2 linked regions of the Saccharomyces cerevisiae S288C genome follow. Changing the gene in region 2 together with the main gene of any one other region gives a genetic interaction. Each region holds a gene or a part of one and is shown on either strand. Other genes may lie near its edges.

Region 1 (4,192 bases), on a different chromosome or scaffold from region 2:
CAACCCTCAAGCTTCCAGCCAGTGGAAGAAAACAGAGATGAAAGAAAAGGAGTGAAGTGCTTGCATAGAAGAGCAATACGTGGCAACAAAGTCCCGAACTTGCCTAAAAAAGCATAATTTAATTACATTTATTTAACTTTATTGCTCCTTCTTTCAAAAGTCGGAAGCGCGCGAGTAAAAAAAATTACAGAGCGAAGGAGAGGCGAAGGATAGATGGGGAACGAAATTATTGTTTTATTTTTCCTTTTTTGTTGGAATGTTAAGCGGATCCTTGCTAAAAGATCTGCTCTACTTTCTTACATTTGAAATTTTTAAAGTTTTCTCAAAAAAAAAAAAAAAATTGGAGAACAAGCGCAGCCGGAATGAAAAAGGCCATAATTTATGTTAAATTAATCATAAGAAAAATTGATAATAGCAAACATAGCTTGTGATTCTTTTTCTTTCGGTTTGTGAAATAATTGCATTCTTCCCCCTTGTATCTAGTATGCAAAAATATGGAGAATGTTCGTTCTTCCCTACGTTCACTGAATGTTCCTTGGTATCAACAGCGGTAACAGTTTGTTCAGTTGGATGCGATGTGTTCTGTTGAAAATAATTCAGTAAGATGCTGGTTTAGTGGCGACTTCACCTTTCGTGATTATAGGTATACTCTTGGGAATTATGCTGGACGTCAGAGAAGTTAAGGTCGATGATGTATTCGTAGTCTCTTGAAGGGGTAGGGCAGTTGTTTTAACAGATTGCATAGACATCCATTTACTTTCAAGTTGAATGATTTCCTCCTTGGAATTCTGTAATAGGGATAAGCTTGTTCGAAGGTCTTTGTTCATGGCATCATTAGTTAGAGTTTTATTTTCATCTTGCGATGCGCTGTTAATATGTTTTTCTATCAAATCAGTGATTGTTGATAGAGAGTTCTTTAAAGTTTGTATATGGTTATCCAAAGCTTGCCTTTCACTTATATTGCTTTTTTTGGGTAGTGTTACATTATTATTACAAACTCCTAAAGCAGGTGAGTTAGAAGCAGAGTTCGAAAGAGAGTTCATCATTGAGGGAAATGGAGTGGAGTAACTGCTATATGGCGGGACTGTAGGGAGCGGTTGCTGCTGCTGCTGCTGCTGCTGGGCAAAAGCTCCAGGATGATACGGCATTGGGTAATTAACAATTGGCAAGGAAGTTGTTTTCAGATCATCTGTCGAAGATAGTGTTCCTGATTTCTTCATCGGAGGTCCAGATAATGCTTGTGGAGAAAGTACTTGTTGCGGCTGCTGAGGCTGGACTATGCTATCTTGGGTGGAAAATTGATTGGGATAGTCATAAGAATTCATCATCCTCGCCGAGATGCTTTGCCTTCGCATCATGTTCACCGTGGGTTGTTGAGGGGGCAGTGAAGATATTAGGTAAGGTCCACTACTTTGTTGCTGTTGCGGTATACTGATATGTGGAGGACTTTGGGATGTTGAGTAATGGACGGGACTGCCCATAAACATGTTTGATGGTTCTCTTGCAGAAACTGGTCCGGATTGCTGAGAGAGAACATTTAACCTCGAAGCATCAACGTAACTGACAGATATTGGTGACAGTATATTCTTTCTTTTACCATCTTTTCCCACACCAGTGCTCTTTCTTTGGATTTTATTCAAGATACCGGCGTTGGCCTCTTTGAAGAAGAATCCAGATGGGTGGGTAAATTTCCATTCAACAAGTTCTTTAACGTTACCATTGTTGGCAGAAGATTGGTCTGGGGAAGGATGAGATAGTTTATGAAACCCGTACATGTGTAGTTGACGAACAAAACTATTGACATTTCCATGTTTGAAATAACGCTTCAGAACATGTGTACTAAAATTAGGGTCATATGGCTTCAAAAAAAATACCGTGTTATCAGTCGGAGACCAGTATATCCATTTATTTACTTCCGGTTCCAGAAGAATTGCATGAAGTTGGTGGACGAAAGTTTTAGGTTGCATGTGGCCACCGGTTCTCTGAGCTATTGTATTTTATGGCGTGGGTGAAAATTCAATATAGGGGTTACAGCTGCCTAACCTTAAAGCGTGTAAAGGAGATCTAGATCTTCTGCAATGATCAGCTACTACCAATATATATATATTGGAAAAAAAGGTAAGTAACGACGTATCAAGATAAAACCCCAAAGGAAGAAAGATGCAACCGAAAGGAAAGCATGGAAAACTTCGAGCTATTCACTACCTGATTACTTCAACGTTAATGAATACCCTAAACGTGATAAGTTTGTGCTTTTCCTTCGATATGGATATCTACTGCCTTCCATTTTCTGCTCTACGGGTCAACAACTGAAAGATTATTTTTTCGGTTCCTCCTTTTTCTTCTCGAAAAAAAGCTTAAATCTTTCAAAGACAAAAAAGAAAGATTGCACCAAATCAGCGCAGAAGGCAGCAACCAGAGAGACGGGGGCGCAGAGTCAACATCATATACGTAACAAGTTGTTCAGGGCGGATCGCTTCACGTCATACAAAGGCGCGGATATGCACTAATCTGCAAATCTCGCAGTCACCGTAAGCCCAAGCCAAAGCGAACCATCGGTGCTAAATCGGCCCGCCCGACTGAGACGCACAGATTCCTACGCAGGCTCTCCTTGTGCCGCCCACGGAGTATTCCGTTCACCCAAAAAAAAATAAAAAACGAAAGGGGCAGACCAGGGGCAGACCAAAGGAGGGGAATTACCGGCGTGGCTAATATTCCTTATTTTGCTTAGAGCACCTTCCGTTCCGCCGCCGCTGCTTCCTAATCTGGGGCCAGGAAACGTCTGCGGCGGGCCAGATTCATTCTCGAGCCAGGAGAACTGCGTAGCTTGCGATAAAGGGGCGAAATTAACCCTTCCATGCAGCTGGCCCGAAGCAATTTTATATTTCGTGTGCTCGCCAAAAAAAAAAACCCTGCTGCGTCCCTTATTCTATTTCCATGGAAATTTCCGTTAGCGCTGTTTTGCAGGTGGTTCCGAGTCATAGCATTAAGATTAACGCGTTGTAACGGTATCACCGGGTGAGCTATGTTTTTCTTTTAAGTTATGCAACCTTCGCGGAGGCTCGGTTGCTTACGGAACTTTTAAGGTTGAGTTTGCCTTCGGTACCCCTTTCCTTTCTGCTGTCAATTCTTCTAGAAGAACTGGGTTTATGCTTCGGGAGTAAGCTCCAACATACGCTGTAAAGAAGACAGTTGTCATTTATTTATTATTATGTAATGTAATTAAGGTTGTCTGTCGTGATTAACGGAGCCAGTTTCGTATAAAGACGAGTGTAATTAGCAGTTTTCAGGAATCAAGGCGCCAGCTTCGTCGTCGAGAAACCAAGTTACTTTGGTTCCGACCATTTCATTAACCAGCACACTAGGTAGTTCGCTATTTTTTACGATTAACACGTCATGCATGATAGCCTTTTTAGCAGCTCCCCTAACGAGAAAGCACACACTTTTAGCCTCGGCTACTACTGCTAATGTAAAGGTGATCCTGTCCTTGGGTGCCTTGGGCGAATTATTACACCATAAAACCTTGCGGTCCATCTCTTCTACAAGGTAATTAAATTCAACCCCGGGAAACAACGAGCATGTATGTCCATCTTCTCCGCATCCGAGTAAGATTAGGTCGAATGATGCAGGCAGCATGGAAGCGTATTCTTCGGCAATCTTTCTATTGGCCGTTTCACCGCCACCGATTAATGATTCGTTGATAGTGTATACAGTGGGGCCTAAGTTCAATTGGTTGCCCTGATGCACTAGCGGGTCCAAAACTGTTTTTTTGAACTGACCATAGTTACTTTGCGGATCCTCAAATGGAACCAATCTTTCGTCACAGAAGAAGATTCTCCATTGTGGCCACTTAATATGTGGAAAAATGTTTTTGTCATTTACCAAACTTTCGTACAGCGCTTGGTTCATCGATCCTCCACTGATGGCGATATTGAACACTGCATCAGCGTCGCCCGTTAACGCCGATTCTTGCTTTTCAAGGATAAACTTGCCGAATTCGTGTATGAGGCTTTTCTTTTCGCTAAACCTTTGTAATTTCACCATTTTTCTTGAGGTGGTTGTGGATTATTTGATGAATGGCATTCTTTGTTTGGAAAACTGCTGCGATAAGACTACGTTCTTCGTCATTTCTTAAATATTATGGATCTTACAATTTTCGCTGCTTAGGGGGGGATTTTTTTAATTTTCAAGG
Region 2 (3,744 bases):
AAAAATTAAAAACAGCAAATAGTTAGATGAATATATTAAAGACTATTCGTTTCATTTCCCAGAGCAGCATGACTTCTTGGTTTCTTCAGACTTGTTACCGCAGGGGCATTTGTCGTCGCTGTTACACCCCGTTGGGCAGCTACATGATTTTTGGCATTGTTCATTATTTTTGCAGCTACCACATTGGCATTGGCACTCATGACCTTCATTTTGGAAGTTAATTAATTCGCTGAACATTTTATGTGATGATTGATTGATTGATTGTACAGTTTGTTTTTCTTAATATCTATTTCGATGACTTCTATATGATATTGCACTAACAAGAAGATATTATAATGCAATTGATACAAGACAAGGAGTTATTTGCTTCTCTTTTATATGATTCTGACAATCCATATTGCGTTGGTAGTCTTTTTTGCTGGAACGGTTCAGCGGAAAAGACGCATCGCTCTTTTTGCTTCTAGAAGAAATGCCAGCAAAAGAATCTCTTGACAGTGACTGACAGCAAAAATGTCTTTTTCTAACTAGTAACAAGGCTAAGATATCAGCCTGAAATAAAGGGTGGTGAAGTAATAATTAAATCATCCGTATAAACCTATACACATATATGAGGAAAAATAATACAAAAGTGTTTTAAATACAGATACATACATGAACATATGCACGTATAGCGCCCAAATGTCGGTAATGGGATCGGCTTACTAATTATAAAATGCATCATAGAAATCGTTGAAGTTTGCCGTAGTAATACCCAGATTATCAGATTCCAAATCCTTGTCAATAATTATACTCCTTTGGACAACTTCTCTTTCCATTAAAAAATCTGAAATCTCCTTAAATTTTAAATAGATTCTGTTCAGTTCACTAACGGGGAATTTCAAGAGAACATTTTTGTTCTTCGCCGACTGACTATAATCTGTAACATTATTGTTATCAGAGTTTCTCGCAAAATTTTGTTTTTTCTTGCTAAATCTCAGCATATATTTAATCAGATTCAAAACCTTGTTGAAACCTTTAATAGATTTGAAACTTCCGTTGCTATTCATTTCATCTCGTAAAAAGGATACGATAATTTCTATTTTTTTTAAAATTTCCAAAATCTTGTCATGAATCAATAGCAATTGAACATTAATCTCCTCATTTGAAAGATTTTTGTAAAATTCGTCATATAATATTACTTCACAACGTTGGAAAATAGCAAATGTGATTGCTATAAAATTCTGTAAGATTTCAATAAAATGATTTGCGAATAAAAATTCTTTACCATTAGAATGAAAGCGATTATTGCCGCTTGAAAATGACTTTATCGACTTTATGGGGAAGATAAAATTAAATGTTATTGAGTAAAAAATGTGCATATTAGAAATAATTTTCATCAGATCCTTTGCACATCTTTCAGAGTTCGAGGTCTTATTGTTGTTAGAAGAATGTTGAACTGCCATGGACAAAGAGGATTCGTTTTGAACAAAAAGGAAAAAATTTGTATAAACAATGGTATTGATAAAATTTAAAGTGTCTTTCCATTCTTTTCTGACTTCGTTGTCATGAAAATATAAGTCTACTGTATTACTCACGCCCATAGTCAAGGTTTCTAACAGACTTTCAATTTTGGTTAAATTTACTGGCAAGTAGAAAGGAACACCTTGCAGAATATTTATCAATTTTGCTTGCGTTTCCAGTAATTTTAAATCGTTAGCAATTAAAGGAATGTCGTTCGTATCAATAGAGGCAGGTATCGGAGATAGGTTTTCAGCAGCGGGTACCATGAATAGCTTTTTTTTTTTTTTTTATTCGAAATCTGGGGATTCTATACAGAGTTGTAAGTTAGGCAAACTAGAATTTGGTAATAATATTTTATTCTTGGGGCGACATATGGAGATACTTTATTTCCTTTTCTTAATTATTAACGTATACCTATAAATTAACAAAGTATCTAAACAAAATACATAAGTGTACTCAAACTGAGTAGAATCGTCGATTAAACTTCCTTCTCCTTTTAAAAATTAAAAACAGCAAATAGTTAGATGAATATATTAAAGACTATTCGTTTCATTTCCCAGAGCAGCATGACTTCTTGGTTTCTTCAGACTTGTTACCGCAGGGGCATTTGTCGTCGCTGTTACACCCCGTTGGGCAGCTACATGATTTTTGGCATTGTTCATTATTTTTGCAGCTACCACATTGGCATTGGCACTCATGACCTTCATTTTGGAAGTTAATTAATTCGCTGAACATTTTATGTGATGATTGATTGATTGATTGTACAGTTTGTTTTTCTTAATATCTATTTCGATGACTTCTATATGATATTGCACTAACAAGAAGATATTATAATGCAATTGATACAAGACAAGGAGTTATTTGCTTCTCTTTTATATGATTCTGACAATCCATATTGCGTTGGTAGTCTTTTTTGCTGGAACGGTTCAGCGGAAAAGACGCATCGCTCTTTTTGCTTCTAGAAGAAATGCCAGCAAAAGAATCTCTTGACAGTGACTGACAGCAAAAATGTCTTTTTCTAACTAGTAACAAGGCTAAGATATCAGCCTGAAATAAAGGGTGGTGAAGTAATAATTAAATCATCCGTATAAACCTATACACATATATGAGGAAAAATAATACAAAAGTGTTTTAAATACAGATACATACATGAACATATGCACGTATAGCGCCCAAATGTCGGTAATGGGATCGGCTTACTAATTATAAAATGCATCATAGAAATCGTTGAAGTTTGCCGTAGTAATACCCAGATTATCAGATTCCAAATCCTTGTCAATAATTATACTCCTTTGGACAACTTCTCTTTCCATTAAAAAATCTGAAATCTCCTTAAATTTTAAATAGATTCTGTTCAGTTCACTAACGGGGAATTTCAAGAGAACATTTTTGTTCTTCGCCGACTGACTATAATCTGTAACATTATTGTTATCAGAGTTTCTCGCAAAATTTTGTTTTTTCTTGCTAAATCTCAGCATATATTTAATCAGATTCAAAACCTTGTTGAAACCTTTAATAGATTTGAAACTTCCGTTGCTATTCATTTCATCTCGTAAAAAGGATACGATAATTTCTATTTTTTTTAAAATTTCCAAAATCTTGTCATGAATCAATAGCAATTGAACATTAATCTCCTCATTTGAAAGATTTTTGTAAAATTCGTCATATAATATTACTTCACAACGTTGGAAAATAGCAAATGTGATTGCTATAAAATTCTGTAAGATTTCAATAAAATGATTTGCGAATAAAAATTCTTTACCATTAGAATGAAAGCGATTATTGCCGCTTGAAAATGACTTTATCGACTTTATGGGGAAGATAAAATTAAATGTTATTGAGTAAAAAATGTGCATATTAGAAATAATTTTCATCAGATCCTTTGCACATCTTTCAGAGTTCGAGGTCTTATTGTTGTTAGAAGAATGTTGAACTGCCATGGACAAAGAGGATTCGTTTTGAACAAAAAGGAAAAAATTTGTATAAACAATGGTATTGATAAAATTTAAAGTGTCTTTCCATTCTTTTCTGACTTCGTTGTCATGAAAATATAAGTCTACTGTATTACTCACGCCCATAGTCAAGGTTTCTAACAGACTTTCAATTTTGGTTAAATTTACTGGCAAGTAGAAAGGAACACCTTGCAGAATATTTATCAATTTTGCTTGCGTTTCCAGTAATTTTAAATCGTTAGCAATTAAAGGAATGTCGTTCGTATCAATAGAGGCAGGTATCGGAGATAGG

Evidence for each region.
Region 1: mutations in YHR054C (region 2) and MGA1 together harm fitness more than expected from each alone (negative genetic interaction), as found in Saccharomyces cerevisiae (one large-scale study listed by BioGRID).

The regions. Positions count from the first base shown.
Region 1 is NC_001139.9:985,824-990,015, reverse strand, and holds MGA1 (Mga1p), read right to left. Parts: upstream 1,968-4,192; coding exon 597-1,967; downstream 1-596. Other genes in the region: 6-phosphogluconolactonase SOL4, read right to left, coding at 3,277-4,044.
Region 2 is NC_001140.6:212,484-216,227, forward strand, and holds YHR054C (uncharacterized protein), read right to left. Parts: upstream 1,767-3,744; coding exon 702-1,766; downstream 1-701. Other genes in the region: YHR052C-B (uncharacterized protein), read right to left, coding at 36-209; metallothionein CUP1-1, read right to left, coding at 52-237; YHR054C-B (uncharacterized protein), read right to left, coding at 2,034-2,207; metallothionein CUP1-2, read right to left, coding at 2,050-2,235; RSC30 (Rsc30p), read right to left, coding at 2,700-3,744.